4 linked regions of the Caenorhabditis elegans genome follow. The protein of the gene in region 1 purifies or fractionates together with the protein of each later gene. This does not show direct contact. Each region holds a gene or a part of one and is shown in the gene's direction. Other genes may lie near its edges.

Region 1 (6,095 bases):
GACCATATCCACCTTCCCGAAATTGCAAAGAGGTAGCTTCCATGTTGATATTCCAAATCCTCTCGAAGTTGCCAAAGTTTTTGATGAAAACTATTTGGATCCAATGGTGGAGGCTCCGATCGTTCTGGAAAGTTCTGATGAAAATTCCAACTTCCATGTGTACATCACAAATTATGAAATTCAAATGAAGAAGAAGGCCAAAAAGACTTGGATTACTCAATTTTAACCGATTTGTGTTTCTTTTTATGAAAATAAAAGTATTAGAAAAAGTTTTTGACATTGTCCTTATGAATAATTACTCAGAAAATTTTCAGCCATAGTATTAGTTTTATAAATGAATTTACATTTTTACCCAGTAGAACCCAGGGGTGTGCGGCAAATCTCAAAATTTGCCTTGCTTAACAAACTCGGAAAAATCTAAATTTTATGTTATATTACTAGTTTTTTTGGAACAAAATCAATAGTTTTGGTCAAAATTGTATTGTCCAATTTTTGTTGTGTGCGGCAAATTCTAACGATTACCAAGATCGGCAAATGGCAAATTTGGTAAATTTGACGCACACCCCTAGTAGAAACGTTGTTCAAAATTCTTGGAAAAAATTATTACCACTTCAATAAGTTTGATAGTAGTCTAGAATCAAATTGGAATACGATGGTAATTAACAATGCTTTTAAAAAAAATTGAATTTGCAAAGGTCTAAATAATTTCCCATGCTCCATACGAAGAAAATGATTACTCAAATTTAACCGATATTCATGAATTGTAGAAAAATAACTTTCTGGTAATCGTCAAATTGTTTGACATTTTCCTTATCAATAATTAATCATCAAAATTATTGAGGAGAAAAAATCAGCTTCATGACTAAATTACATCACTACTAGCCGGAAATGCCATCATTGAACTTTTACGGACACGTGGCTCCTGGGTATACTTGAAAATCTTAAAGGTGGAGTACCGAAATCAGAGACTTTGTTTTTAGACCCAAAATAGCCCAAAACTACCGAATTTCGTAATGAGACGTTTTCAAAACTTCGCAAAAAAAAATTATGGCGGTTCAAAGTTCTGGAAAAACAGACCCATTTTCAGCTAAAATAAAATTTTCATTCTTTGATAAATATTGTGGTTTTTTATTAGGAGTTTATTGTTTGATTAAAGTGCATTTTCGGTCATTGGGGCACAAAAACATAGCTTTTATTTGTGCCCCACTGGCCGAAAATGTACTTAAACCAACGAATAAATGCGCATTAAACGATCACATTATTTATTAGAAAGTGGTAATTAAATACAAATTAACTTCCAGACGCAGCGACACCGAGAAGTTGGAAACAATTTGATTTTAGCTGAAAGTGGACCTTTTTCCAGATTTTTGAACTGCCATAACGTGTTGAGAAATTTTCAAGATGTCTCATTACGATATGCGGTAGTTTTGAGCCTAAAAAGCAAAGTCTCAGATTTCGGTACTCCACCTTTAAGCTTTAAGTTACTGTAAACTCAAGTTTCAGAAGTTTTTAAAAGTTCAATTTTTATAGTATTGGAAAGTTTACCACATACAATTGCAATATGGCTTAACGGAGGAAGATTTTAAGAAAATGCCACATTGAAATTCTCTGAAGATTCATTGAAAGGAAAAGTACTATTTATAAGTCAGCATTAAAAAAACTGCCACGTTATATATTGTTTAGCGCTAATAAAAACCCAAGCTATTAAAGAAAATTGCGGTATCTTCTGTCTTCAATGTCAGCGGGTTTTATTACATTATTGATCGGTTTTTCTTGGTGAGCTGGTATGTACCAAGTTCTCCCTGTAACTTGGCACTTCGATAATAAGGGTTGTAAATGGTGACGTGTGGAACGAGGAACAATTAAATAACTAAAATACGAATTTAGGTTGAAAAACTCCTAAAATAAAACAATTCAGAGATTTTGCAAATTTGTTAAAACTCTAGAATTTTATCACTACTTCCTCTCTTGACGTTTATCAGCACACATCTTAATTTCCAAACTAACTCGTGACATTCTTTATGCCGGGCTGAATTTTTCATCGAAAAGCCTTTTTCAGTTCAGTAAACAAGCAACTTATCATCGAAATAGTTCGAGGCGGAGCATATGCCAACTCATCAATAAGTTGATAAGAAACACTGCTTATAAGAGACGATGGCAGGTGTACAATGTACTCAAGCCTTTTTTTCCATGATTCATGTAGTAAGGAATTCTCTAGAATCGTATTTGATGACTCATAGGCAAGAATCCGCCCATTCTGTGATGTATAAATAGATGAGGATTGTTTACATTTATTGCCCAATTTCTATTTTTTTTTCGTTGAACATTTTCCCCCAGTAGACACCGAGAATTGTTTACTTTGCCGAGGGTTTTTCATACGCTCTTATCAACTTTCAAACTACTCGGCTTTTCGATCTTTAGACATTTTACATCACCTAGTGATAAAACATGCGATTTAGAGCCAAAGAATCAGCTTACAATTCTCATAGATGTACATTTTATACGAATAGTGGTCTTAGTATTGCTCCTAACATGTTTCCCTTCCCAACTCACACAGTTGATTTCAGAATCAACCATGATCGGAGGAGGAATCGGAATCAGCTTCCGCAACGAATTCTTCAACCCACAAACCCCAGTGAACATCCCAGTGCAAGGATTCTCCAACGGTGCTCGCCTCCGTCTCGTTCTTCTCCCAACATCCGCCGATTCTCGTTTCCACATCAATCTTCGCACTCCAGACGACATTGTTCTTCACTTCAACGCTAGATTCGATGAGGGAGCTGTTGTGAACAACTCGACCAGCGGAGGAGGTTGGCAATCCGAGGATCGTCACGCCAATCCATTCCAGCAGAACAAGATCTACACTCTGGAGTTTGTGTCCAACGGTGGAATTATCTCGGTTAGTTGGATTCTGGGCTTAAGAATGTTAAGGCGGACTGTGTTCGTGCAAAGCACGTGGTGCCAGACTGTCTCGTTGCGGTTTGATCTACAAAAAATGAGGGAATTTTTCGTGACATCAGCACACTCTTAATCATGCGAAATCAGTTGAGAAGTCAGCGCCTCTTCGGCCGCATTTTTTGAAGATCACACCAAAATGGGACACTTCGACACCACGTGGAAAAGTTTGATTTTTCGTACTCCCATCTCTGATGAGCATTGGATTTCGAGCCCTGTTCACCTACTGAAACTTAATCTTTAAACTATTATATTTTTCAGATCTTCGTCAACGGAGCCCACTTCGCTGACTTTGTCGAGCGTACTCCATCCCACGGAGTCCATCTCATTGAGATCGAGGGAGGAGTTCATGTTCATTCCGCCCATGTTTCTCACTAATTTATTTAATTTTTGGTTTAAAATACTCTTTCTTTATGATACATTTTGAATTTTTGTGCAAATTTCATATCAATAAACCTTGGTTTTGAATATTTCTATTTTCTAAATTCCGAAAAATGGATTCGCAGACACTGAGTCGAAGCGCCATATTTTACGCGCAATTTCGGCAGTAATGGTAGAGGTCACCGCTATAAAGTTGATAATTCATAGTTTATTATTATGAAGCATCAGTTTTAGCGTGCTTAGCGTCCCCTAATACTTTTTAATCATTACTTAGTTCCAAAGGGCATTTTCTCTTAAAACTTCTTATCTCGAAAAAATAGTGAAGGAATTCGATTTATTCTTCGGAAAAGATTTTTTTTTGAAAATTCTTAATCAGATTTTCACTTATTTTCTTTTAATAAAGCTTTATTTTCTATTTTATATCCACTCGTTCATTTAAAGCAAGTTTCAAAAACTGAAATCGAGGAAAATACTATTTTAGGGTACTGTAGTTCCTGTTCGGTGCAAACACTGTGGCTGCGGACCGGGCACCTTATTTGACGCACAAAATTTATTTGAATTATTTTTTTTCATTTTCTCTTCGTTTTTGTCTATTTTCCAGCCAAAATGCCTGTTTTCCATTAAGTTTTTCAAAACAATTATTCGAAAATTTAAATTCTAATTGAAAAATTGCAAGAAATTACGAAAAATCCACTCGTTACACTTTTTTTCACGAGAAATAGTAAAAAATCAACTTTCCACGTAACTCTAATTGTTTTTTTGCAATGAAAGTTAGATTTAATTTTATTTTCTTCGCAAAAACTTTCCAAAATGACTGCAACGTCGAAAAAACGATTATTCAAATTTACAACTGACGAAGAGGAGCATTGTGTGAGTTCTCTGAATTTTTGTGCGGCTAGAAAATGAATAAAAGCATGCAATTTGCAATATTTAACATGAAAAATGAGCAAAATTCAAATTTGGAAATATTTAATTTTTAAATTATTTTTTAAAATCCAATTTTTCCGCAGTTTGTCGCAAAGATAGAAATAAATCGTTCTTTTTTTCAATTTTTTCAGTCATAAACTCCCAAAGGCCCATATTTCTATTGTAAAATGCACAAAACAAAAAAAAATTGTCTTTTTTTTTCCAATTTCCCATGACTCTCGTCCCTCACCACTTGATTAGCCATGCTGCGCTCCATCGAACAGTCTGCGTCTCTCCGGCATTCCACACTCTCTCGCACATTTCTCAATCAATAGAGGAGGAAACCGGGGCAAAACAGCAGCAGCAGCCGGATTATTTCGCGCACTTTTCCTCCACATTTTCTCTGCGTCTCCGGCCTCTCCCACGCTATTTCTCCCGGTTTTCTATTGAATTTCATTGTCTTTTTTCGCCTCGTCGTTTATGTTTTTTATCTCGCTCTTGTAATCGCTCTAATTTCGGATTTTATGAGATTCTACCAATTTACGACATCTTTCCCTCATCGTTTCTTGTTCAGAAATCGCCAGAAATGGCTGCCGCCACCGCAACTGCTGCTGCCACGTCGAAAAAAATGACGTACGAATTTACGATTGACGATGATGAGCTTAGTGTGAGTTTTTTTTTGGTACTTGTGTATATTTCCCCTCATTTTTGAAAAAATATAATTTTAAATAAAAACGTGGGGAGTTTTTGTATTTTTAGGCTTAGGAAATAATCATTTCTGAGCCTAATGAGGGAAAATGGACATCACGTTTTATTAAAATGGATAATATTAAAATGAGGGGAAATAATACACAAGTACCGTTTTTTTTTTTGAACGAAAATCTGTTGAAATTGTCTCAAAAACCAGAAAAACAGAGAAAACACTGTTAAAAATCGATATTGTGTATATTCTTGGGTCTGCTAAATATTTAGCAGACCAACATTGGTTGAAAAAAGTTGAAAAAAAGAGCCACTTTTGTTAAATTTCGAGTTTTTTTCTTCAAAAATTAGTTTTTTATTCGAGAAAACATTAATTTTCTTATTAAAACTCGGAAATATTGAGTTTTAACTAATTTTTTGGTCTGCTAAATATTTAGCAGACCCAAATTTGTCAAGAAAAGTTGTAATTTTAGTTCAATTTCAAGTTAATTTTCTTCGAAAATTAGTTTTTTATTCGAGAAAACATTAATTTTCGAATAAAAAATACGATATTTAACTAGTAAATTTTTTAAAACCGATTTTTCATCACAGTTTGGGTCTTCCAAATATTTAGCAGACCCAAATTTGTCAAGAAAAGTTGTAAAATAAGCAATTTCAGTTCAATTCTGACTTACTTTTCTACTAAACTTTATTCAAAAACAATTAATTTACCAATAAAATCTCGTAAATATCGAATTTTTAAGTAAAAAATTGTTTAAAAACCGATATTTCATCACAGTTTGGGTCTGCTAAATGTTTAGCAGACCTACATTGGTTGAAAAAAATTGAAAAAATGAGCAAATTTAGTTCAATTTCGAGTTTTTTCTTAAAAAATCAGTTTTTATCCGAAAAAAAAACATTGCTTTTCTGATAAAAAGTCGGAAATATTGATTTTTTAATTAAAAAATTGTTTAAAAACCGATATTTCATCAAAGTGGGTCTGTGAAATATTTTCACTTTGGTTTTTTAAATATTTAGCAGACCATAGTGAAAATCAAGAAAAATTGTAAAATAAACAGGAAAGATTGAATTTTTAACTAGGGAATAGCTAAAAACTGATAATTCATCACAGTTTGTGTCTGCTAAACAGTTAGCAGACCCAAATTTGTGAATAA
Region 2 (7,741 bases), on another chromosome or scaffold:
CGATTAGTTCTAGACGTTACACACTTTTTTCTAATATGTATATTATTTGAACGAGTGCAAATGATTTTTTTTCCAATCTAATTCTCAAACACTAACCGAAGTTGTCACATATCGGCGTTCCTACTTTCTCACACTCCTTTTTGTCGCAGCAGGTGCCGTTGTAAAAGAAAAGAAGATCTGTGAAAATAAGTCATTAATCGTAACATAGGGGTCATATCTAAAAAACAAAGAGTACCTTCGTTTGTGCGTTGAACACATCGCAAAAAGCACAAGTTGTTGTAAGTAACGTTGTCGGTCCCGCAAACAGGACGAATCACGCTAGGACAGTCGCAATCCGGTGGTGGCGAGAATCCTGTAAAAAGCAAAATTAGCATTTTCTCTTGCATGTATTTTCACTCATAAACATCATATCTGTCATTCAACACATTACTCTAGCCATTAGCCACCAAAAGGAATAAAAAGAAGACATCCGGATAAAGATGTTCACACTTGTCTCATCTTTGACTTCTTCTTCATATCTATCACACGTTTTTCTGTGCTAGACCTGTTGAACAGAAAAATAACCTTCAAAAAGAATATCAGAAAGTGGTAAGAACACACAAGTAGGTAAATGGATGTAGGAAACGAGGAAGGAAGTAAGACTTTTGTAAGGAAAAAGATAAATGAACTAACTAAGATAATTTTTAAAAAATTTTTATTCGTGGCCAATTGTTAATTATGTATACCTTTTTGATTCTCTTCTTCTTCACACCTGCTATCAATAACAATTATTAGGAGAAATAAGATAGAAAGAAACACGTTTCTACGGATAAGCATGCTGGTTGGCGGTGTTCCACATGAAGACGATTGAGGGAGATGATCAGTGATTAAGAACCCAATGGGATAAATCACAAAAACAGATGTGTGAAACCGTATGGAAGTACTTCTTAAGACACGGAAGGATTCCGTAGACTTTGCAAACAAGGGGTAACGTCAAATGCGGGCGCCGTCACTGGAGGCCGTCAACTTGCGAAAAGGCAAGTTCTCTTTACTCATCGTCAGTAACTCCTCCCATCATTTTTTTTTGGTCTTACGTCGAGAAAATGAGAGGTTGACGGGTGCGTAAAAGGGAAAGGATAGCAACGAGCTTTAATTGAAAGATCGAACAGCTGATTCGATGGGATTACACTAGCTACGGAAATTTTGAAAAGTGACACTTAAGATGATAATTTGTTAGTTGAACTTGCTACAGATCCATATCAGCTTCCGTTGCGGTGTAAGTGTGATAACGATGCGAATTTAATGAAACAACTTGATGCCCATTGTAAATGTGTAAAAATATTATGTGTGGTCTCAACAAGCTTTGCAAAGTTGTTCAGAAAATCAAAAACTGATAATCACTATGATATCAGCATTGCTATGCTTTATTGGAAGCATAGGTACTTTTGGGCTCAACTAAGGTGAAGTAGCGTCAGTAGAGAAGTTATCGAAGCTTACTACAATGGTGTTAAAATTAGAAAATATTATAGTAAAAGTTCTCAAAAGCGTTTAAAACATTGTTTTTTTGTAGTCGAAAAGCGACGCAAACACGTTTTTGACTGAAAATATTTTAAAAATGTGGAAAAAACAATTGGAAATGATTTTGTTCACATTTCTAAACCATTTATGTTTAAACACTGTGGGGGACTGTGCTTTTCTTTTTACAAAGGTTGGTACAAACTCATTCTTTGTCGTTTTTGTCTGTTAATATAAACATTTCAAAATGATTTGACCAGTTTTAGTACGATATTCGATACTTTCGGCTCTACAGGAGTAGTTTTAGCCAAAAATCCAATTTTTCAATCATTTGTTATGCTTGTTACGCTATTACCGTATTTCCTCTATTAGTCTTGCACCCCTATGTGACGATTGAAAATTATTTTCGCATGCAAGACTAATAGAGGAAATACGGTATGTTATTCAAGAGTTCAAAACTATTTTAATCGGAAGATTAGTTTAAAGAAACGAGCAACTGTATTCAGTACAGTTTAAGTGCAATCTTCAAAACAGTTCATTAACGTTCAGTTAAGTTAAGTTCATTGAGTTCCGGAACATAATCCTCGTTATCATAGTAAGATTTAAATTTTCTTTTACTCATCTCAATAGTTTCACAGACGACACTCACTTGACCTGATGAAATCACTATTACTGATTCAGAAATAATTGAAAAATTGCATTTGCAGATATTTAGTGCCAGCAGTAATGTAATCATTTTCGAACATGGGTGTGTTCATATGTAGTTGAAGGTACACAAATTATATCTTATAAACAAAGATATTTGATTCTTTCCATGGTGCGGTTGATGTTAGTCGGCCTGAGCGGAAAATATTTAGTTTTAGCCAAATAATTTTTAAATATTTTTAGACAATGTTTCTAATAAGCATTTTTTTACAAAATTGTTTCAAAACATTGCTACAAAATTTGACTTGAGTTCCATTTTGGGTGTGTACTCCTTACGTAAATTAATTTGTTGGCAATTTTAAATTGATAGGTCTGATAAGAAATTGAATCATATCAGGAAACTACATATTTCCAACGAGTCGGTATGCGATCAAAAGCGAACTATCATAATTGCACAAACATATCGAGGAACACTGTGATTATGCAAATTTTAGTATAAAACACAAAGAAATATAAAACAATCTTTTTCATAACATTCTTTCTCTGCCCTACACTATTTAATACTTTCTACAAAATTTTTGAAATTTATAAAAAAACAACTACAATCTGTTCAAAAGTCAATTAAAATGCTACGATCTCAAAAAATCATCTAAGTATGCACGAAGAGCGTTTAGAATTATTACAACCAAGTTTATATATTAACCGAATTAGTACAACATATTAACCACATAGCATTCGTTTTGATACATATCCATGACAAATCTGCATTTCAGGGTTTCCGAGATCGATCTGATTACTTGAAAACTGAACCGTTTTTAAAATCACAAGCAACAAGTAAACATTCCCAACAATGATAATAGTCTAATTCAAAGTAAAACGTAAAGCCAGTAGACCGAACTACACTGTTGTTATTTCCAAACAGACTTAATGTTTTAAGCCAAATATTTTCATTCATTTCATTGTTGTAAATGTTGCTTTGAGCAATAATATCTAAAGGTGAAGTAAATTCCCACGTTTACTTTTGCTCATAATCTTTATTCATTCGAATAATATTCAGAATTATCAAAAAACCATCGTTATACACGCCTGTCGTCGTGGTGCCATGTGCAATCACTTGATAACCATATTAGTTCTTGAAGGCAAAAATGTGGCAGTCGGCAAAACGTCGGGGCAAATAGCAAAATTGGCTTATCAAACAATAAAAAATTTTCACGGTCTTACATATGCGATAGGGCAAGACAAGCCCTTCCAGTTTCAGTCCGCTGCTGCTCGAGTCGCCACTGCACACGATGCGGCTCCTACTGGCTTTATTTTTATTAGTAACAGCAGTTGCAGCTGCTCCAAATCTTGGTAACTCAAACTAAATCTATTTTACAAAAACAACTTTTTTTTTCAGATTCCGTATTTCATCACCTACCAAATTATTATCCCGAACTAACAAATACTGATGCTTTCCATATTCGAGCAAAACGTGCGATTTTTGCCGTTCTTGGAATTGCCAACCAATGCGAAAATGGATGGACTGGTGATGGATGCAAAAACCCAATCTGTACTGATCCAAAACCTGCACCAACATCTGGACAGACTTCCAGTATTGAGATTATGTTTATCCAAGGAAGCTGTGGTGGACCGTAAGCATGAGTTTTAATTTAGTTGCTTCAAAACGATTTTCTTTTTTCAAGATTTTACATCCCTGTCGATTCAACAGGCAACAAGCCTACCCAAACCATTCAAATCCATGTTTCGGCTGCTGGAATTCCATATGTGAATATGACCGATGCAAAGGGAGTTGTATTTTCTCCATCTTACTCCGTAGCCGACGATAGCTATTCTCTGAATGTCTACGCCGATCTTCCATCTGGTGGATATACCTTGTCCATTGATAACCAGGGTGTTCCAACAAGCGAATGCATCATTGAAGTTAATGTAAGTGAGATTTTGTAGTCTGCCTTCTAGTTACATTTCGCACATTTTCATTCAAAATGTTCAACATTTGCCATCGTAACAAGATGAAAAACTGATAACCATGAGTTGCCTCCCTACATTTTTACGAGTTCGGCATATCAAAATGGGCGCGCTAAAAATGAATTAAAACGTGGAATTGGAAATAAAATGGCGCGTTATAAAAATACTGTATACCATGTCGTTATTAAAGATCAAATCAATGAATAATATAGTGAATTCATCAAAAGAACCTTACCTAAAGTTACATAATTTCTGAAATTCTTAAAACCTGGAATTGTCTACTAAAATTAAGAACAAATTATATTTAAAACAACGATGTTCCATACTGCCCAAATGAATTGTATATGTCATACATACTAACTTATATTTTGCTTCAAGTGCACCGGGAAGTTTTCAAAAGTTCAGACATTGATAAGGAATGTCATTATTCAGATTATTTTATGAAATGTAGTTTTCCTAGCAAAAAAAAACGTTTTTATAAAAATAAAATAAAACAAAGGTTTTTTATCTCTGATTAACCATCTTTGATTAACCAACAACCAATTTTTAATTTTGCAATTATAAATTTTGTGCCAGCAGCCATTTATTTATAAAAACTGCGAGAGTTCCAACATATAAAGCATTATATAAAGCATATTTAATTTATAGTTTTCAATTTTAAGTAATTTCCATATAAATTTCAATACAAAAGCACATGAAGTCAGTTTTAGGGTGACCCCAGCGGATTGAAAGCTGTGGATGGATTTGTGTATTCTCCACAGTCAGACGACCCTCCATATGGTGAATCTGCAATCAACGGTGTTCCGATGTATATGGCCGCTCACGTTGACAATTCACCAGCTCGTTAGTTTCGTTTTTTAAATATAAAACAAAATCTTTATATTGCAGAAGTTCAATCTATCACCATTCGCCAAGGCAATTCTTTGGCTCCAGTCTACAGAGCAGCTCTCACAAGAAGGTAGGGAACTGTATTTGTGGAAATAATTAGCATTTAGACTTGATTTATCTCCTGAAAACATTAACACCCCTATAAAAGCAAATCACTTTCCCCATTCATTTTTTCAGGTATCAGTGCGGGTATGAATACTATGCAGGACAGTGGCAATGTCAACTTGGAAATGCCTACTTCTATCATGTACTACGAAGTTCAAATTAAAATGTTTAATGTTTTCTTTCAGATTGATGGAGTTGACGCCAACGGATTTAACTTCAGAAGAACCGGAAGATTCTCATGCATGCGTAAGTCAACAACGCTTTTGTTATTTGAATGATTAGTTTTCTATAAGCTGAAAGTGTCATGAGTTTATTGAGCTCAGGCGTTCAAGAATTATTAGTTTCATAACTGTTAACTACAAATTGCAATCAGTCTTTTTTCAGAACTTCTCACATCACCAGCTCCTCCAACAACGACCCAAGCTCCGGTGACAACTTGTTTCAACAATGGAACACTCCTCAATGTTGCTAACCAAGGCCAAACATGCTTCTGCTCTGAGCTGTTTAATGGAAAACAATGTGAAAAAGTTAACTGTATGAACGCCGGATTCCCAGATCCAGACGGTAATCTATGCGAATGTGCTGCTGGATACCATGGAACAAACTGTCAAGATGGTATGTTAAGTTTCAGTTATATTTATATATTAAATATATCTTTCAAGTTACCTGTCCACTGAACTGGGAACAATATCTTACCAACTACAAGACATTGGTTGTTATCATTCGAAGCACCGTTTCGATGAATCAAAACCTAAATGCGATCTCCAGTGCTATCTACAAAGAACTAACAAGTAACGACGGCAACAACTACGAAGTATACAAAGGATTTGTCATTGTTAAATTTGCAAACGGTGCTTACACCAACACCTACTACCCAGCATTTGACCAAAATGCTTTCCTGGCTGCCATCAATCAAGCTTCAACTGCTGTTGGACAATGTTCGGATGCTACTTTTGATGCGATCGGCTCTATTTTTAACGAAGTCGCTCTCTATCAAAAATCTCCAGTCTATTTGTTCACTGACGCAACTGCTAGTGATGTCGAGAAATGGCAAACCGTCATTGAGCAAAACACTCGCATGAAGTTCCCGGTACTACATAACTGATGTTAACATAAGTAGAAGTTGCAATTTCAGATATACACTCACTACTTTGTTCAATCTAATTGTGCATTTGATGAAATGAGCCAAGGTTTCCAAGCCATCGAATACGCTTCTTACTACAGTGGAGGACTTATCCTGAGACCATCTGTTGACTCTTTGCAACAAGTTAGTTTACAATTTATCCTACAACACCATATTTTGCTTGTTCAGATTTTCCAATACGTGATCAAAGCAACAGCCTACAAAATGAACTCGGTACTTATTGACGATCTTGCTAGCTGCGCCACTCCAACGAGAGTTTTCTTCGTTGACACTTCAACCACTGAGCTCATGATTCTCGCTGTCGGACAACAGTTAACAGTTTCTGTCACAGATCCAAATGGAAATACCAATACTCTTCTGAAGATTGTCGACAGTGGAACTACTCAACTGTATGAGATTTCAAACCCCGTTGTTGGTGAGCACTTGGTCACAGTTGTGTCAAATGTGGTAAGTACTATTGAAATGAATAATTCAGTTTTTTTGCTCACTACATAGCTTAACTGAAAGAATTGAAATGTTTTTGTTTGCAGCAAAATACTCCGTGCTCGTACCGTGTTCAAGCCCGCTCAGAATATGATCTTTTCATTGGAACTAGCGTCGGAGTCAATGATGATGCTAGTGACTCGGAACCAGTCGTCGGACAATCTTCTCACATTGTTGCTCAACTAACAGGACTTAAGGGCAAAGTAGCCGATCCATTCCGTCTTTTCTCTGAAATTTCCATTACATCTAATGTAAATGTGGACAACAAATACCAAAAACCAATGTACTACTCCAGTGGAAAATACAGAGACGGATGTGGTTTCCATATGTATTTTGGAGCTGCCGACTTCTGTGATTTCATGTCTCAACCATTCTATGCTACTGTCTATGCTGACGATGGAAAGGGATTCACCATCCAAAGAACTACCACTGGTTTCTGCTCTGGAAGTAAGCCTTCAAAAATTGTATTTATCACTTTTTTGGCGCAATAGCTAACTTTTTTGTCGGAAACTGAGTAAGAAACGTGTACATATTTCAGCGCCAACGACACCGTATCCACCAAACTCTTGTCAGAACGGCGGAGTGACCGATCCAACAAATAACGCTACTTGCATCTGTCCACCAGGTTTTTACGGACAATAGTAAGTGAAAATAACATAAACTTGATTGACGTTCATATATCAATTTAGTTGCACAAATATTCAATGCGTAAACGGAGGTACACCAAGAGGAGGAATGTGTGTTTGCCCAGTCGGAACTGCTGGAACTTTCTGCGAACAATGTATGAACTGTGTAAATTTGAATTAAAATAGGGATCTTATATATTTCAGACATGTGCACCACTTTCAACAACAATCCTGACGTTTCATTCGATGGACAATCCATTGCCTTTGTTGTTTCTACTAGATCAACTATGAAGGTAGCTGTTCAAAAAATTGCAGACAATGTTCAAGCAATGACACGTGATATGCAACAAGCATCTGACAAATGGATTAATAAGTGGATTTTGATCGCAGT
Region 3 (7,910 bases), on another chromosome or scaffold:
TTTTTGCACATTCAATTTTCTATTTGAAGATTGATCTTCTTATCTCGTAAATGTATAAGCTACTGAATTATGACTTTATAATTCAAAATTTTTATTTGCAGACTTATAATAAAATTCAAAGAAAAACACCTTACTTTGTCATTGAAACTCAATGAAAAAATGGTTTAAACTTCTTCAATTAAAATTTCAAATAATTTTACATTTTCCAACTTATTAAGTTGAAAGTAAAATCCAAAAGTTTATCTTTTTCATATGTACTTTTCACGACAAACTTCCTTAATGAAGTTCAACACCAATAAAATTTAATTTGAAATCTTTCGTGTTCGACCGCGCCCATCATTCTTTCCAGGTGATTCGTTTTTTGTTAGACGAATCAACCTGACTCATACATATGTCTTGCAATAAAAAAATTTCTATGACGTTATTAAACATCAAACATAAATAAATGAATATATATTTTAATTGAACTTGTAAGGGATTTAAGTTTTCGTGTTAATTTTTTTTTGAATTCTTGTGTTAATAAACTATTTTTTATACTTCCGATTTTATTTTAAACAAAAGCCACCACGAGGTGGCCGTCGTCACCTGCCTCTTAACACATGTGTTCTCTTCTCGTCTCCTCTCTTTCCCGGCTAGTCACATTAGTTTCGTATGTACAAACGACGCTCCGCAACGCTAAACAGAGGGCGATTGTTTTGAATAAACACAATTTGCGCGCGGTTATCCTCCGTGTTTTACTAACCAATGCTCATTGTTCTTTCTGTTTCTGCTAGCCTCTTATTTATTTCGGTGTCATGTAAGTGATTTCTTGTCTCTTCTTCAATTCCTTCAGTTTTTTCTATATTATTCTTCAAACGTCAAAACTTTTTTTTCAGCCACCGCAAAATGAACGATCAGCAGACCAACAACGAGTCAGACCACACGATGAGTAAAAGTGCCAAGAAAAGAGCCAAGAAGCAACAGCAGCAGAAAAGAGCATCCGAGAGTAACGATGAAAAGAATAGCCCAACAAAAAGCGATGCAGAAAATACCGAAGCAGTGAGCACACCCGAAAAAGTTTCCGATTCAGTTGAGCCAGAGAAGCAGGATCAAGTTGATCAACTGGTGCCATTGATTAATAAATTTGACGTGAATGGAAAAGCACTGAAAACAATTGCCGGTCATGGGACAGTTCATTTGGGAGAAATTACGCCGCACAACATTTTGGTGAGAATTTATTAATTTGTTGAAGGAAATGTATGTTATGAAACGAACTAGAATTCATAATATTAAATGAAACCCATATTTTCTCGATCAATGTGAATATGATGTAGCCTTAATTTTTGCGTCTTAAAAAATTGAATATTACTCTTGCACGCAGTGAATGTGAGCCCACTCAATAAAATTCTGTTCCGATTTATATATATTCTGTGAATGGCTAAAAAAGCAAACCTAGGCCGACTTTGCTGTTCATTTTTGAAGCTTTCAACATTGCCCTGTATTCTGTACCTGTGAAAATTGTGTAAATTGGCATAGAATGAGCTGTTAAAATACGTTGTAGCCTACCGAGCATGTCAGACAAGTAGTTGAACTCAAAGTTTGCTGAAGCACACTCAAAGTTTGCTGAAGGTCTTCACTCACTCTTGAACCAAACAGATGATTTTAACCTCCACCTTTTAAATTTAATTTAGCCTTCCCATTTTCATCAGTAAAACGCGATTTCTGAAATCCTATTTGTTTTTCAAACCTCAACAAAAAATACACGAACTTCATAAAACTCGAAACTCGATTTTTCAATTTACTATAATTTCAGCAACTGAAAAAGCTCAATGAAGATGTCTTCCCAATTGCCTACAACGACAAGTTCTATGTGGAAGCTCGATATTGCGGAGAACTTGGACGTCTTGCCTACTACAACGATGTCGTCGTGGGCGCCGTGTGCTGTCGCATTGACGATATTTCAGACGAGAAGTCGTTGTATCTCATGACACTTGGAACCCTTGCCGCCTACCGACAGTGAGTTTTGAGTCAGATCAAATTTACCTTATCAATGACGTTTTTTTGGTACAGTTCTACCTGAAAATGACGGTTTTAATAGCGTTAATTATTATACCAAGGGCGTTTTACGAGGTAATAAAATGTGCTATTTCAGAATCGGTATTGGTACAATTCTCATCGACTACGCATTAAAATTGTGCAATAAGATGGAAGAAATTAAGACCATGTACTTACATGTGCAGGTATCCAGAAAAAAGTGGATCTGAAAAAAAGTAATTTTCCAGGTCAACAACAAAAATGCGGTGCAATTCTATGAGAAGCATGGCTTCACCAATGACGGAATTATCGAGGACTACTATCGTATTAGCCCAAGAGACGCTTACTTGCTCATCAAACGAATCCGCCACTAAACTAGAATAGCTCATTTTGATATACAATATCTGAACTGTTTCCCTTTTCAAAATTACTTTATTTTTATCATAGCGACTGGTGGCATCCAAGCCTGGTCTGCAAGTTGGATCTCTAGCCATTGACAATTGCCAGCATGGTTGTTTTGTCTTCTTTCCCATCTTCAAGCATAACCGTGCCTACCCGTATGAAAACCATGTCTGTTTGAGATTTCCCATTTTTTCTATGCTTTATTTCATGTATCATCATTTTCAATTCTATTGACTTTTTGTTTTTTGGTAACTCTGGTAATTCGATTGTGAATTCTAAATGTCGAGGTTCTTTTATTGTCCGAGCAAATTTTATGTTTTGAATTTTGACTCATAAAAATGTAAGGCGTTTTATTGTTAACAAGAACATGAAAAATCAGGAGAGCCCGGGGGAAAATTTTATTATGCCCTTATGCATAGCATTGAAAGATAAGAAGTTGCCACGATGTTACGAGCGTGCCCAACCCATTTTCTTATTTAACGACTTTGATTGCTATAAGGTTTTCTTGATAGTACTTTTAGTCGCATTACTCCAGTGCTTCTTTTTCATTTTAAGCTGTTGATAATACCCCTTCAAGTTTGCTTCCAAAAAAACTAATATTTTTTATTTAGAAATGAGGAACTGGGTTTTGATTGCGGCCCTGGCCGTGATCTGCCTGGCGACTGAGCAGGAGCTCAGTCACAAGGACAGAATACGCGCGGTTTTGAGATCATGGAGTCCGGCATCGCAGAAGCAGTTTTTCGAGCCAGTCAGAGAGCAAAAGTACAGGACTATGGAAGAAAGGGTTATTTTTGTAAGGTCTAGCAAACAGGTGCGATTCGAATTTTTAATTTCAGTTGGACACCCATCATATTTCCAAAAGATCCATTGCTGAACCACACGTTTTGGCTGGAATGGCTACTCGAGGATGCAACAAGCCAGGGTACACCGGTGAAACTTGCCAATATCGTGAGTTTTAAGATTTATATTTCTAAAATGTTCCATGACGCAGAAATTTTTCAGCCCTCTGTTCTGCTCGCAACCCGTACATTCCGAACAACGACGGATTTGATGACATTGCAATTGATGCTTACAATCTGGCTAATTGCTCTGAATCATACATCGTCGTCGTTGACGAGACGATGCGGAATATCAAAATTGAAGTCGAGACGGCGTCAGCATTGAACCCAACATTCTATCTTCAAGCTGAAAATGGAGATCTCATATTCCCAGACGAATCCATTCAACTTCCAACAATGTTCACTGCAAATTATTTGCATCTGCCTCCCGGACAATATATGCTTGGACCACGAGCCGACACCAGCGAGCAGTTTTGTACAATGATGATGTCATCCCGCAGTAGCATTCATGTTTCCGGTGGATTCACTTCAGGAGATCAAGCCGAGCGTAGTGACTATCCAAATCTCAAGTTTACATATTTCGATACTGAGTCGGTTGTTGCAATTCATGCTCAAGGTTTGGACTTTCCTGGTCAAATCCAAGCAATTGGATTTACCGGTGCCGAGAACCACATCTCAAGATACATTCCAATGACAACCCGTTTCAACTGTACTTATCCATACATCTTGGAGAGATACACTTGCAGAAAAACCAGCAATAACGATGCTGGACACAATCTCATTCAAGTTCGATTGAACCAAAGGTGCTAAACATTCAAATTTTTGTTTTCAGGTGGAGGGTGTGACTAACTCTGGCTACAAGTTCCGTCGTATTGTTCCTTACCAATGCGTCTGTGAGTTTCTTTGTAGTGTATATAAGAAGTTTATATAAGACTTTTAAGAAAAAGTACCTTTTCAGTACCACCAGTAACAACTACTACCCCCGCTGTCCCGACAACACCTGCAGCACCGATAACTTCTTGTCAAAACGGAGGGCAGTTGCTTACTGACTCTAATGGAGTTGCATATTGTTATTGCTTTGGACTTTACTCTGGAAGTACTTGCTCGCAAATGCTCTGTGCTAACGGAGGTACAATTCATCCTTGAAATTATATATTTTTTATAATAACTATTAAGGTTTCTTGCCGACTCCAACCAGTGACCGTTGTCAATGCCCAGAAGGATTCAGTGGCTTCCATTGCCAGAATAGTATGCACTAGTAAAAATTATCTGTTAAAACATAATAACTTTGCAGTCTTGTGTACCGACATGTCAGGCTTTGACTTCAACGCTGAAAACCCAACTCTCACCCTTGTCATCCGATCAAGAAGCCAGCTCTCTGCAGTTATTGAACAAGCAACTGAGTCTGTTCAAAGTATTGTTGATCTTCTCGCTAGTGAACCTGGATATCTATCAAAGTTCATTGTTGTTCTTTTTGATAACGGAAGTGAGTTTTGATCTAAAACATATTTGACATGAAAGTGTATTATTTCAGAGCTCTTGGTGAACAGACAATATGATTCATGGGACGCTGCAATGGTCGATCTTACAAAAGCTATCCATTCCGCTCCAAGCGAAGGAGGATGTGATGATGTTGTCATGTCTGCTGTTGCGTAAGTTCACTGGTATGTAATAATGTTTAAAAATGCTAATTCATTACAGATCTGCACTTTCTCTCTATCCAACAAACAAATCCCCGATCTATGTGATTACGGACGCCACTCCAAATGATAGTGCTGAGAAGGAAACTGTGTTCCATCTGGAATCTTATTGGAGAGCACCGGTAAATAACATGAAAGCAAATAATGTTGACTCTATTTAAATTTCAGATCTACTTCATTTACGTTCAACCATCTCCAGCCGATGGATGTAACTCATCTCCAGATAACTCTGCATATAGAGATATGGTGGACATGGCTGCTCGTTCAAGTGGTAACACTTTCTATTTCAGCGACAGAAGCACTATTTCGACCGTAAGTCACTTCACTTTATATCTCCCATATCAATTAACTTTTATAGTTCTTCTACCGACACATGCTTAACACCTTGTTCCGATCCCAACTTGTTCTTTCCGGAGATTACTCACACTGCTCCAGCCAGAATCTGTACAAGTCAGCTGCCTTTGATCTTAGCGTTGACTACGTTACAATTGTAGCCACTGGAACAAATTTGACTCTAGTTGTGACAAGCCCAACAGGACAGTATCCAACTTTCAACACCGCCTTTTCTGATGGTGTGAACTATGTTTGGACGTATAACTCGCCAGTTGCTGGTCAATGGTTCTTCTCTATCAGATCACTTGAACCAGAAGCAGCTTGCACGTTTAAGGTTTATCAGAAGAAGTTCAACTTTGGCGGACAAACTCAATACAGCCCCGACTATGATATTTTCTGGTCATTCGCTTCTACTCTTACTTCGGCAGCAGGAGTTCTACGTCAGCCAGTTCTTGGATTTGATTCATCTCCAGTTTTCCATGTTACCAACTACCCTCAGTTCCTCTCAATGGACCGTGTGCATGCCAATCTTCAGATTTATGCTATTCGTGACGGAGTTCAAACCGAGGTTTACGGATCAAGTGGAATGTACAGAGATGCCTGTGAATTCAACTTCTACTTCCCACCATTCACTTGCCGTGTTCCAGAAGAAGTTCTTTACTTCAATTTCTTTGCTCGTGATAATAATGACATGGCTCTTCAACGTGCCGGAACTATGTTCTGTGCTGCCGTTCATCCTACCCCGCCACCAGATCATCAATGCCAAAATGGAGGAGTAATGAACCCATCGAACACCACTTGCTTCTGTACTCCGGAGTTCACAGGAACGTACTGTCAGAACATTATTTGTTACAATGGAGGAACAGCTAGCGGAGATCATTGCGTCTGCCCACCTGGTTACGCTGGTGAGAGCTGTGAGATGGCAAGATGTATTGAAACAGGACCAAATCCTGAATTCATCCGTTATGGAGTTGACATGGTGTTTGCCGTTGAAATCACTCAGAATTCTATTGCTTCACTTTCCATGCTCAATATCAACTTCCAAGAAATTCTCCGCGACGTTCTCATGCAAAATCGTGGATGGATTAGAAACTTTGTTCTGGTCGGTTTCAACTCTACATGGGGAGGACCAATTGCTGAATCACCAGCTGATAACCTCACTGCAATCACCACTGCTCTTCGCACTCTTGCTTCTTCAGTTCCAGCCGATACTGGATGTACTGTCAAACTTTGGGATGCTTTGAATTATGCCATTTTCTCCAGACAAATGGCACCGGGATCTTTTGTAGAAATCTTCCAAACCACTCCAGAAGATGATACTGATACTCGTTCGCTTGGTCTTTTCTATGATATGTCTAGAACAATGGAACTGGTTCTTTACGGTTTCTTGACTTCAAATCCACGTTTACAACCGGAAGGATTTGTTTGCAACGCCACCGTCGAAAACTATTATACTCTTCTCGGAATTGTCAGTGGATCTACCGGAACTACTTATAGCCTGCAAGCAAATGAAATTTCTAATGCTGTCAGACTCATTCCACTTCAGTTCTCTAACGGACAAGTCACATTCAACGCATTGGATGATTGTAGACACGACGATGGACTTATTACATACTTCCCTGTTGACGCATACACTCAAACAATTCAAATCCAAACATTTGGTTATGGAACAACTATCCAAGTGTATACTGGTGCTGGTGTTATGGCAGAAGCTTTGGAACTTTTCTACGATGACTTTACCGGTCAAAGCGTGTACGAAATCAGAAAGGCTTGTGACGAAGGCTGGGAGCCAATTGGACAATACTGTATCAAGTTTATGGCAACTGTAGAAAACATTCTTCCGATGCCACAGGCTAAGGCTTTCTGTGCCTCAGCTGGTGGATTCCTCGTGGATGATCTCACTGACGACAAGAATGGCTTCTTGAAATCAGTAGCTGCAAACACTCAATTCTGGACCGGACTCTTCAAAAACAATGATGGACAATTCTATTGGGATCGTGGAACAGGAATCAACCCGGATCTTCTCAATCAACCAATCACATACTGGGCCGATGGTGAACCAAGTGACGATCCAACACGTCAATGTGTATACTTCAATGGAAGATCGGGCGATGCTAACAAAGTCTGGACAACTGATACTTGTGCAGAGCCAAGAGCATTTGCTTGCCAAAAACATAGATACGATGCCGATCATAGACCAAACGTTATTGGAGACGATGATCTTCCTGCTGGATGGTGGTATGCTAAAGTAAAGTCCAATCCTCCTTCCGGATACCCTAACATGTGCACCATGAGCGTTCGCGTTCAGTCTAGCCTCCAGATTGTGACTGGTTTCTCGACAAAAATTGGAAACGATTTCCCACTTCCTGATCCAATTCAGGATTCTACAGAAAATCGTCTTATCAGTTACGTTCACTCAGTTGATAACGAGAACCGTGTCCCAATTCTCACTGATGCTATTCTGTGGGATGCATATAATGGAACGTTCTACAATGGACTGAAATATCAAGTTCGTTTTGGATGCCAATTCGCTTGGGTGACTCAGGACTTCCCATGTCCAAATGGAGATTCACAAGCAAATGAGTTTGGAGTGCTTCATGTCGGAGAAGATGAGTTCGGAAAC
Region 4 (10,821 bases), on another chromosome or scaffold:
ATAAAAAGTCCGCTTCTGTATTTATTTTCATGATTGGGATAAAAGAGTAGATTGTGCAAACATGTAGACCGAACCAATAACAACATTTTGTTGGTTGAACATTTTTCGACAACAAGTTTGGCTTTGATTTTAATTGGAAAATTAATTTTAAAAAATTTTCTGAATTGAATTTGATTCTGTGCACTTTTTGAAACAAAAATACAAAACAAAAGACGTTAACCATGAGGCTTTCAAAAATTAAGAACAATTATTTAAGCAGAAAAAAAAGAGACTATTTTGATAAACAGGTATGATCTGTGCTTGACCTGTTTTTATTCGTGACTTTATCTAGGTGAAACCAAAAAAACATTTGGTAGAATGATATAATAGATGGAGTTGGGAAACTGTCTCAGAAAAATTATTAACACGATAACATTTTTCAAAGAAAATTTTTTTTTCAGTATATTATAAAACGTCGGAAAAATAATAGGTTGAAACATTTCAAAAGGCTTGATTTAACTAAATGATATTCCAATTACGAATTAATTTTTTTGTTTAAAAAATAAGAGTTTCAAAAACATTTTCGATAAAAAATGCGCGGAAAATTTTTGCTTTCTAAATCTCAAATTATTTGAAAACTGCAGTAATTTGGAGTGATAAAACGAAAAAGAAGATCATAATGTATTGTAAAGTAAAGTAGTAAACTATTATATTTCTTTAATTTTTAAAAAGTTTATCATTCAAATAATGTACTCTGAACCTGGTCAACGGATGCTACTGCGTGATTTGTAACCTAAAACTTAATTTTTGTTTCCATATCCTGGGAAGTTCGAGAAAAATCGTGTCCTAATGCTGGAAAATTCGTGTCGCTACAAGTTGGCATTCAAGCATTCCCGGAATACTTTACTCCTGATAATGAAACATTGATACAGTGTATCTTGCCACCGCTCATCAATTATCAAAATTACACGTGCAAAAAGTTATCACCGTTTTGAGTGCTGTTTTATAGGTTCGTGGAAAATTGAATAAAACAATTGAAAACGTATCTGAAACTGTGATTCCAACACAAATCACGTGAAAATACAAACTACGAAAATTGGAAACAAGGTGGTGCTTTTATTGTAACTATCATTTGTTACGAAAAAAATACAATTTGTCATCAAAGGGCACCGCACTAAGAAATACGAAACGTACTAAAGAAAGACCAAAAGCACTTTCTATTAGGAATAAAATTGGGAATGTGTTACAATTTATCAACACCTTTTTACAGCACATGAAACAAAATTACAGCACATGAAAACAATAAAGCCACAATCAAAATATAAACACTTAAAAGCATACAATTAGGTGAAACAGTAAAATTTGATTTACTAAAAGGTAGGGCGGTAAAAATATGTTATAGACATAATTTTAAAATATTATTCTGATTAAAAGAAAAAGTTGCAGTGAAATATTGAGTTAGTCGAGAAAAATCTGAAAACGGTTGGCTTTTTGTGAAATTTAAAAAAAAGTTGAACACCTTAGGAGGGATTTTGTTGCAATATTGAGCAAAGCGAGCAAAAAATTTCAAAAATTATTGAGAACGTTCTAACTAGGCAACCGTCAGAAGGTGCCCATCGGACTTGCATATGAGACTTATGCCATTCGATAGTGCATGTCTTAAAACGGTTGCTCGTGAATTTTTAGCGGCAAAACTCCAGAACCAAGCTCACGGCGGGATCTCAAAGATCCTAAAATAGCACTGTAAATAAGAACTTTAACGATCTAACGAAGCAAGTTTTCATATTCACTTTGGCAGCTCATATAGAAAAGCATTAGAAACTGAATAGCAGCAAAACAATAACAACAACAGTTGCCGCACTTCACGCGCTTCTATCTGAAACAAAAAATTTTTGGGAAAAAACTTTCAACTACAAACTTGTTCTTTACAACAATATCAACAACTTATCAGTTGATGACTTTTCTGTAAAAAAATTATCCGCGGAGATATGATCTACCAAAGTGAATTTGGAAAATTGGCCCTCCAATGCTTCGTTAAAGTGCTATTTTAGGATCATTGAGAGCCCGCCGTGAGCTTGGTTCTGGAGTTTTGCAGCTAAAAATTCACGAGTAACCGTTTTAAGACATGGGCTATCGAATGGCGTAGATCTCATATGCAAGTCCAATGGGTACCTTCTGACGGTTCACTAGTAAGAACTTTAAAAGTTTCCCAAAATAATTTCATATTCAAATTTTTTTACAATTTATATAAAAATATGATAGAAAAAAAAAGACAAAAGACACACACACACAAATACATAGAATATGAAAATCACATTTTTTTTCCTTGATTTCAAAAGTTATGTTATTTAAAACTTGCTCCTTGCTGCGTTTGGTTATATTGGCACCATCTTTTTAAAAATACTTATTAGACAGCCCAAGTAAAAGTGCTCCAAAAGGTGTGTTTTGTACATTTGACAAATTTGTGCTTGAAATTTTAATTCAATTATCATTCGACTCAGACATGGTCTTGAAACCCTTACTCTATTTTTATATGAGTGTGTTTAATATAACTTTCTAAAGAGTTCTGAGGTGTATGTTTTCCCAGAGCATAAAGGTGTCAGATATGATATAAAATATCTACGAAGGAGTATCTGAACAGTTAAAAAAATTTCAAATTATAAGGTTTATAGGTTTTTAATTAAAATGACTATTCCAGGACTGAATTTTGATTTATTGATACATATTGGAATTTCTTTGATTTGGTTTTCAAACTGCCATGTTTTATGATCAGTTTCGATAACAACCAGACGAGTGAAATGAGGCAAAAAGTAAATTCAAAAATGAGTAGTGTAGTTTACCGCGGAGTTTTCAGCAGGATATAATTAATGTTGGTGGATATTCAAATGTGTAATATTGCAATTTAAAATGTTGAGTTTAGATTATAAGTCATCTCCGAATCTATTTTTTTTTCTCAAAAAACTACACTCCAAACCGCCAGAATGAAATCCGCTAGTGACTCATTTTCAGGCTTATCTTCGTTCCATTTTTCAATATTTCACAACTAGCGTGATTTTGATAAAAAATAATGCAAACCACAGTAAAGTAAAAATTTTATTTGGTTAACCAAATGACGAATTGACAGTTAGATAGCTGAAACTAGATTACAGCTATAAATCGGATGACTAAGTATTTGGGTTTGCCAACGCTTCACATACACCCAAAATTCCTGCTCCAACTACTTTTTTGAAGCTCATTTTCTTTTTCTCATTGTTTCTCTTGCAGCAGAAATCACTAATTTCGTATCCTGCTTCACAGGTTTCGCCTCCAAGGTTCTGAGACTCCACCCACTTCGTGCTCTTATCAAGAGAGGGCAACTACCGTATAACAAGGACCGATTGGCGACCAAGAACCAATTTTGACTGTTCATTATAAGAGCCTCATTCTATTTAATTTACATCTCGCCAGGTCGCACTTCACTTCTTCTCTCTACTCGAAGAAGCCCTACTGATTTTTTTCTCAAATTTTATTTCTGAGAGCCTTCCTTGCTTTACTGTGTTTTTTAAGGATCTTACTATTCACTAACACATTCAAATTTCAGATGCGCTTGGGCATTTTCCTGCTGGCACTTGCCGGCTGTTGTAGTTTCGCTAGTGCTAAACAAAACTGCTTAGTCGGAAATCTAATTGTATCGGAAAATGTTATTACATCAAAGTCTGTTGAATTGGTACGTCCATCTAATATACATACATTCTATATATTTACTTTAACTGTTTCAGAGAGAATGCGAAGGATTGTGCAGAAAACAAACTGTCAAATCTCCAAGCGGAGGACTTGTTCTCTTGACATGCGAAGAGAACAAGCTTATGGCTTTCATTAACAAAGGACAGGATTGCTCCAGCAGTGAGCTTGAGACATCATGCTTCTGCGAGGATGAGTTGTGTAACAAGGTCGACTTGGAAGAAAATATTCCAAAGCCAATCGAAGTTATTAATGCCCCAAAGTGAGTTTTGTTATCACTGTTATTTTTGACAACTGATAGGAATTGAGGTTTGCATAAGTCTCTGATAGTAACTTTTGATAAACGACTATTTTTGATAACAGCTGCGAAAGAGAAAAACTGATGCAAAATCAGATTAATTTTTTGACCAATTGAAACTTTTTTTAATATTTCGAAATTTTGAATATTAGAGAAACTAAAAACACACGTCGAAATTTCTCCCGTAGATTTGTTTTTAACTTTAGCGATTGGTTTTGAGCAATTTTTTTCCAAATTTTAAAACATTTTCAAGTTTGTACGATTCAAATGTTTAACGTTTATATGAAATCCATCGTTTTTAGATCAAAAATATGTGTAGCCTTAAATTTTTTAAACTCCTTCCGGAAATCGCACTAACTTCTTACTATATAATATTATTTTTTTAGTATGACTTTTCAGCGATATAGTCTAAAATTGAACTTTTTCACTGTACTTTCTTTTACTATACTTTGTCCTAGTTCAATTCCTGACCACAAACTGTTACGTGTGTAAATTTGCCAGTCAACGTCAAACTGATAACAATAATGGAATAATTGGTTTACATTTGGGCGCGCTTCTTATCTGACTGTGCCAATAACGCACGCAACACAACCATAAAACGTGGCTAGTTAGCTCCTCGGCATTGAAATTCGGAAATATTTTAACCAATTGTGTGATAAGAGATTGATAGTACATTTTTACCAATTACCAAAAAACTTCCCTGAAGGAAGATCAAAGAAGATAAGTGAAGATAAATTGAATGTATTAATTGCAGCAACATCCTCTGCTACGTCGGATTCTATGCCAACAACACTACTCCAGGATTCGGATCAGGAGACACCGTCACTTGCTCCCCAGGAAATGTATGTACCAGTGTTTCTGGAGTCTACAACGGATATGACGCTGCTGCCTACGCTTGCATGCCACAAGGACTTTGCGACAGCATCTTCCCAAATATTGACCCAAATAATCCAATCGCCTGCACCAATCTCGCTGGAACCAACATTCAAGGATGCTGCTGTTACAAGCAAGATTGTACTAGCCTCGCTCCAATGAACAACCCACCAACTCCATCTCCATGGAACAAGAACAACCAGACATGCTATCAAGGAATTTCCGTCAACGGAGCTCTCTTGTACGGAGGATCTTTCTCTCAATGCTTGGGAGAATGCGGATCTGCTCGTATTCGTACCACTTACAATGGAGCCAATGTATGGGGAGAGATCTTCGTTTGTGACCCAGTCAACGTCTTCACTGCTTTGAACCTCGACAACGGATGCATGAACCTTGACACCCAAAACATCAATGGAGTCCCAACCGCTCTCATCACCGGCTGTGCCTGCAACAGCATGGACAAATGTATTGACCCAACTGTTGTTCCACCAGTCTACCCAGTCAAGCAGCTCAGATGCGCTGTCGGACTTTACAATGGAACAACCTGGCTCGGAGCTGAAATGAACTGCCAAGGACGATGTGGACGTGTCAGGTTCAATGCCAACGGACAACAAGTTTCATACTTCACTTGCATGCCATACGATGTCTGCGCTGGATTCGGACTTGCTTCCACTGAAGGACAAACCTACAATCCACCACAAGACGAGGAACTTGAGGTGTACTGCTGCTCTGCTAGCAACAACTGCAACGTTAACAATCCATACATTCTCGGACGTGTGAATAACTCTGCTGTGTCTACCGCCAAGTATCCAGTTCTCTGCTACGGAGGAATCTGGGTTAACGGAGTTTCCATCACCAACTCTGCTTACGGACTCTGCCAAGGAGAGTGTGCTTCAGCTAGCTTCACCACCACCTTCGCCAACCAAGTTCACAATGCTACCATCTACACTTGCGATCCAGTCACAATGTGCCAACAAGCCGGAATCTCCAACTCTTGCGGAAGCGTTCTTGGAGGAGTCAATGCTTGCTGTTGCGACAATGATCTTTGCATTGATCCAAACAGAGGATCTCAACGCCCACAACTTCGTTGCTATTCTGGAGTTTCTATTCCACAAGACAAATACAACACTGGAGGAGACCAATTCTGTGATGGATGGTGCGGATCCTTGAACTCTGTTGTCAACGGAAAGAACGCAACTGTCTACTACTGCGCCCCAGTTGGAATGTGCCGCTACTTCGGACTCGGATTCGGAGGATCTTACGGAAACTGTGGACAAATCCCAGGAGCTGACCCACAAGTCACTGGATGCTGCTGCTCAGAAACTGACAACTGTCTTGCCCCAGCTGGAGTCAACGTCACTGCCATCCCAGCTCGTCGTGACCCAAGAATTGTCTGCTACGAAGGAATCCATCTCAACGGACAAAACATCAGCCAGCCTTACTACCGCATGTGCGACGGAGAATGTGTGTCTGTTTCCCTTGGAGGAACCGTCAATAACAACTCTCACTACGCTACTCTCTACACCTGCGATCCAAGCAGTGCCTGTGCCGCGATGGGACTTCGTAACAACTGCTCCACCATTGACAACTCTCTCACTGCTTGCTGCTGTGACTCCAATGAGTGTATTGATCCAACCTACAACCGTGTTCCAGGAAAAGCTCTCAAATGCTACGTCGGTATCAGCACCCAGCACAAGGGAAACATCGCAGGAGCTGAAGTTCTTTGCGACGGATATTGTGCCACCGTTTCCGCTGTTGTCGGATCCGACTATGTCACCGCCTTCCATTGCGCTCCAAGATCTATGTGCCGTTCCCTTGGACTTGACAACTCGAACAACACTTTCTACTTGGACAGATTCGTCAACGCGTACTGCTGTGATGTCTTCGACAACTGCAACGTTGCTACGTCTGGATTCAACGTCACCATTCCACCACTTGCACCAAATGAGATGCCACGCGCTTGCTATTCTGGAATTTTCATTGGAGGAAGCCAAATCTCTGACGGAGGATGGACTGCTTGCAAGGGAGATTGTGTTGCTGTCAACTTGAACACCACATACAACGGAGTTGCTACCACTGCTTCTCTTTACACGTGTGACCCATCTTACATCTGCAGAATGATGAACTCAACAAACAGATGCCACCAACAAGAACAAGGATTCGAGACTTGCTGCTGTGACAGCGATGCTTGCCTCGATCCAACATCCACCCCACCACGTAAACCATATGGAGATGGAAACCTCTGTTACGTCGGAGCTTACTCCTATGATTTGAAGGGAAATACCATCTTCAATGCCGGAGGAGAACAATACTGCGAAGGAAACTGCGCATCTGTTACTTCAACACTTGCCAACGCTAACGTCACTGTTTACGCTTGTGTCCCAGCATACGTCTGTAACAGCTTGTACGTCTATGACAGCTGCCGCACACTCTGGTATGATAGAGATATCACTGGATGTTGTTGTACCAATGGACCTAACTGCAACTTGAATCAAGTTGTTCCAAGACCTCCAATCAACAATCCCGGAAGAAGACGTCCACGTGTTGAATATCCAATCACCTGCCCAGCTGGTCTTATCGTTGACGGATTCAACCAAACTCCAATGGAATTCTCCGTTTGCTTCGGTGAATGTGCCTCTGTCAGCATCAATGCTACGATCAACGGAACTTTGCACACGGCTTCCTTCTACACTTGTGATCCATCGTCTGTCTGCTACCAACTTAAAGTTCATAACAACTGTACTTCCCCAGAAGCTGGAGTAACCGCTTGCTGCTGCGACAGTGATGCTTGCCTCGACCCGAACAGAGGAAAGACCGTTCCAACTCCACCACTCAAGTGCTACGTTGGACTTTACTCTACCAGCGTGCCATCACTTCAAACCGGAGCTGAACAACTCTGCGACGGAAAGTGCGCTTCTGTTAGCGCTCGCATTGCCAATGACAACGTGACCCTCTTCGCTTGTGTTCCACACTCTCTATGCCGTTCCCTCGAGCTCTACGATTCCTGCGCCCGCATGGAGCCATACTACCCAGAATTCCGAGCTTGCTGCTGTGACAATGCTGATAACTGCAACGTTCAACAGACCCATCTTGCCAATGTGATCAACACCACCATCCCACTCACTCCACTCAATGATGCTCCAATATCTTGCTACTCCGGACTTTTCATCAACGGAACCGCTTACAGCTCAGCTGGATGGCAGGTTTGCCAAGGAGAGTGTGTCTCAGTATCAATCACATCTCAATTCAATGGACAAGCCGGAACCGCTGCTCTTTACACCTGCGATCCATCCCGCGTTTGCCGTAATTTGAACATTCTGAACAAGTGCTCCAGTCTTGAGAACGGAATTACCGGATGCTGCTGTAACACCAATGCCTGTATTGATCCAACAGTCTATCCAGCTCGTAACCCAGGAAACCAACTTATGTGCTATGCTGGTATCAGCTCGAACTACATTGTTAATGGAAGCGCAGTTAACGTTGGAGCTCAAATTCCATGTAACGGACAATGCTCATCCCTCTCAGGAGTTGTCGGTGGATTCCAAGTCAACACCTATCACTGCATGCCAAACTCGATCTGTAACTCCCTTGAACTCTACGACAACTGCAAACCAGTTTGGAATGACAACCAAGTCACTGGATGCTGCTGTAACAATGCCAACAACTGTAACATTGCCAATACCACCATCACTCCACCACCACCACCAACTTCAGTCGACTATGCTATTGCTTGCTACACTGGACTTTATGTCAACGGTGTTCCATCTACTCCAGTCATTCTCGGAGCTTGCCAGGGACAATGTGCGTCCATCTCATTGAACACTACACTCAACGGAGTTGCCACCACAGCAACTCTTTACGGATGCGACCCAAGCACTGTTTGCCAATCTCTCAACATGAACAACTGGTGTGCCTCCCCAATCCCAGGAGTCTCCGGATGCTGCTGTAACACTGATCTCTGCCTTGATCCACCAAAGAACAAGACTGTACCATCTGGATTCCGCAAGTGCTTCGCTGGAATCTACGCTCAAGGAAAGGCCACTGGATCTGAAATCTTCTGCCCAGGAAAGTGCGCCTCAATTCAAGCTACCCTCAACCAAGACCCAGTTGCTATCTTCGGATGCGTGCCAACCCAATTCTGCAGACAACTCGAGATGTACGACGAGTGCAAACCACTTCCATATGATACCACAGTTACGGGATGCTGCTGCGACAACTACAACAACTGCAACGTCGATTTGGCTGGATATGGTGGAAAGATCAATACTTCAATGCCAGTTACGAACTTCCGTGATTATCCAATCGCTTGCTTCTCTGGTCTTTACGTCAATAACATGCCAATTTCCATCGCTGGTTGGCAAGCATGTAAGGGAGAATGCGCTTCTGCTACTCTCTCAACCATGTACAATGGAGCTCTCACCAACGCTACAATTTACACTTGCGATCCAGTCAGCACATGCTATCAACTTGGAATGAACAACAATTGTACTACCATTGAGAATGGACTTTCCGGATGCTGCTGTTCTACCGATGCTTGCCTCGACCCAACTGTTTCTCCACCACGTACTCCTAACCCACTCAAGTGCTACGTTGGTCTACAATCTACCTACAATTCGTTGAGCCTCGGAGCTGAGACCTATTGTTCCGGACAATGCGCTTCATTGACTGGAATCGTCGGAGGTTTCAATGTCACTACTTATCACTGTGTTGCTGATACTATCTGCAAATCTCTTGAGATTAAGGATACTTGTCGTCCACTTTGGAGTGACAGAGAAGTCACTGCCTGCTGCTGTAACAACGCGGACAACTGCAACCTCAAGGATCCAAATGTGAAACCAGGACCAGCAGTTCTTCCAGATTTCCCAACTGCTTGCTACCAGGGACTCCTTGTCAACAACCAAACATACGGTGCTCCATTGACTCTTCAAGGATGTTACGGAGACTGTGCATCTATCACCATCTCTACCACCATCCAGAACCAGAATCACACCGCAACTTTGTTGACATGCGACCCAACAACTGTCTGCCAACAGCTCAACATGTCCAACTCCTGCCAAACCGTTGAGCCAGGAGTTTCCGGATGTTGCTGCGACACCGATGGATGCCTCAACCCACTCACCAACACTTACCCAGGACCAGCCAAGTGCTACGTCGGAGTCTACACCAGTGACGGAAATGTCAACGTTGGAGGAACCGTATCATGTGACGGATATTGCGGATCTCTTGAGACAACTGTCAATAATGTTCTTTACAAGTCATATCATTGCGTTCCAAAGACAATTTGCAAGTCCCTTGGATTAAACAACGAGCGTAAGACCATCTCCACAGACAAGGATATCACCGGTTACTGCTGCACAACCGGAACCAACTGCAACGTCAAGGAAGCTGCCGTAAACACCACAAACACTATTCCAGTTGTAAGTTCATTGCTTAAAAATAATCAAAGTTATTCGTATCATACCATTTCAGCCAACTGGAATTCCAATGATTTTGTGCCGTTCTTCCATCTATCTCAATGGAGGACCAGTCACAGCTGACTCTTACAGTGCTTGCGCTGGATCGTGCGCCTCAATTTCTTACACTGCACCATACAATGGTGGAAACCAGACACTCACACTTTACACCTGTGATCCAGTTACTGTCTGTACCTCCTTGAGTAAGTTTTTTTTTTTAATGTATAGCCAATATATTTCATAGCTGGCCATTATTTATTCTTCGAAATTCAAAATTAATCAATTCTAGACTTGACCAACTCGTGTGCTTCTATTGACGGCGGACTCTCCGGATGCTGTTGTAGCACTAATAACTGCGTTGGTCCAAACAATGGCCCAGGAATTGTAACCACACAATCACCAGCCACAACCACAAAGGGCTCATCTTCCATCACCTTCTCAATTCTTGCACTTTTCGCTGCTGTGTATATCGCTCTGACTAGACATTAGGCCAGCTTT

The links.
Region 2: the proteins of lec-6 (region 1) and hrg-11.3 purify together in Caenorhabditis elegans (affinity purification with mass spectrometry, with the first as the bait; one study listed by BioGRID). This does not show direct contact.
Region 3: the proteins of lec-6 (region 1) and irg-7 purify together in Caenorhabditis elegans (affinity purification with mass spectrometry, with the first as the bait; one study listed by BioGRID). This does not show direct contact.
Region 4: the proteins of lec-6 (region 1) and bcf-1 purify together in Caenorhabditis elegans (affinity purification with mass spectrometry, with the first as the bait; one large-scale study listed by BioGRID). This does not show direct contact.

What each region holds. Positions count from the first base shown.
Region 1 is NC_003281.10:596,839-602,933, reverse strand, and holds lec-6 (Galectin), read left to right. Parts: upstream 1-2,567; 5' UTR 2,568-2,575; coding exon 2,576-2,899; intron 2,900-3,216; coding exon 3,217-3,333; 3' UTR 3,334-3,424; downstream 3,425-6,095. Other genes in the region: Y55B1AR.2 (Flocculation protein FLO11), read left to right, coding at 4,147-4,206, 4,817-4,909.
Region 2 is NC_003284.9:11,495,537-11,503,277, reverse strand, and holds the start of hrg-11.3 (C-type LECtin), read left to right. Parts: upstream 1-3,278; 5' UTR 3,279-3,428; coding exon 3,429-3,489; intron 3,490-3,535; coding exon 3,536-3,770; intron 3,771-3,821; coding exon 3,822-4,065; intron 4,066-4,814; coding exon 4,815-4,947; intron 4,948-4,992; coding exon 4,993-5,062; intron 5,063-5,169; coding exon 5,170-5,239; intron 5,240-5,282; coding exon 5,283-5,343; intron 5,344-5,481; coding exon 5,482-5,712; intron 5,713-5,759; coding exon 5,760-6,187; intron 6,188-6,232; coding exon 6,233-6,364; intron 6,365-6,409; coding exon 6,410-6,688; intron 6,689-6,771; coding exon 6,772-7,171; intron 7,172-7,262; coding exon 7,263-7,365; intron 7,366-7,413; coding exon 7,414-7,505; intron 7,506-7,554; coding exon 7,555-7,741. Other genes in the region: F29G6.1 (Kazal-like domain-containing protein), read right to left, coding at 97-177, 236-352, 726-816.
Region 3 is NC_003284.9:3,238,743-3,246,652, reverse strand, and holds the start of irg-7 (Protein irg-7), read left to right. Parts: upstream 1-3,016; 5' UTR 3,017-3,028; coding exon 3,029-3,208; intron 3,209-3,251; coding exon 3,252-3,363; intron 3,364-3,417; coding exon 3,418-4,040; intron 4,041-4,086; coding exon 4,087-4,147; intron 4,148-4,212; coding exon 4,213-4,383; intron 4,384-4,430; coding exon 4,431-4,502; intron 4,503-4,548; coding exon 4,549-4,740; intron 4,741-4,788; coding exon 4,789-4,906; intron 4,907-4,955; coding exon 4,956-5,076; intron 5,077-5,122; coding exon 5,123-5,266; intron 5,267-5,312; coding exon 5,313-7,910. Other genes in the region: F40F4.7 (N-terminal methionine N(alpha)-acetyltransferase NatE), read left to right, coding at 886-1,206, 1,793-1,995, 2,132-2,219, 2,262-2,387.
Region 4 is NC_003283.11:6,401,522-6,412,342, reverse strand, and holds the start of bcf-1 (bacterial colonization factor), read left to right. Parts: upstream 1-3,559; coding exon 3,560-3,685; intron 3,686-3,737; coding exon 3,738-3,961; intron 3,962-4,751; coding exon 4,752-10,287; intron 10,288-10,339; coding exon 10,340-10,526; intron 10,527-10,612; coding exon 10,613-10,812; 3' UTR 10,813-10,821.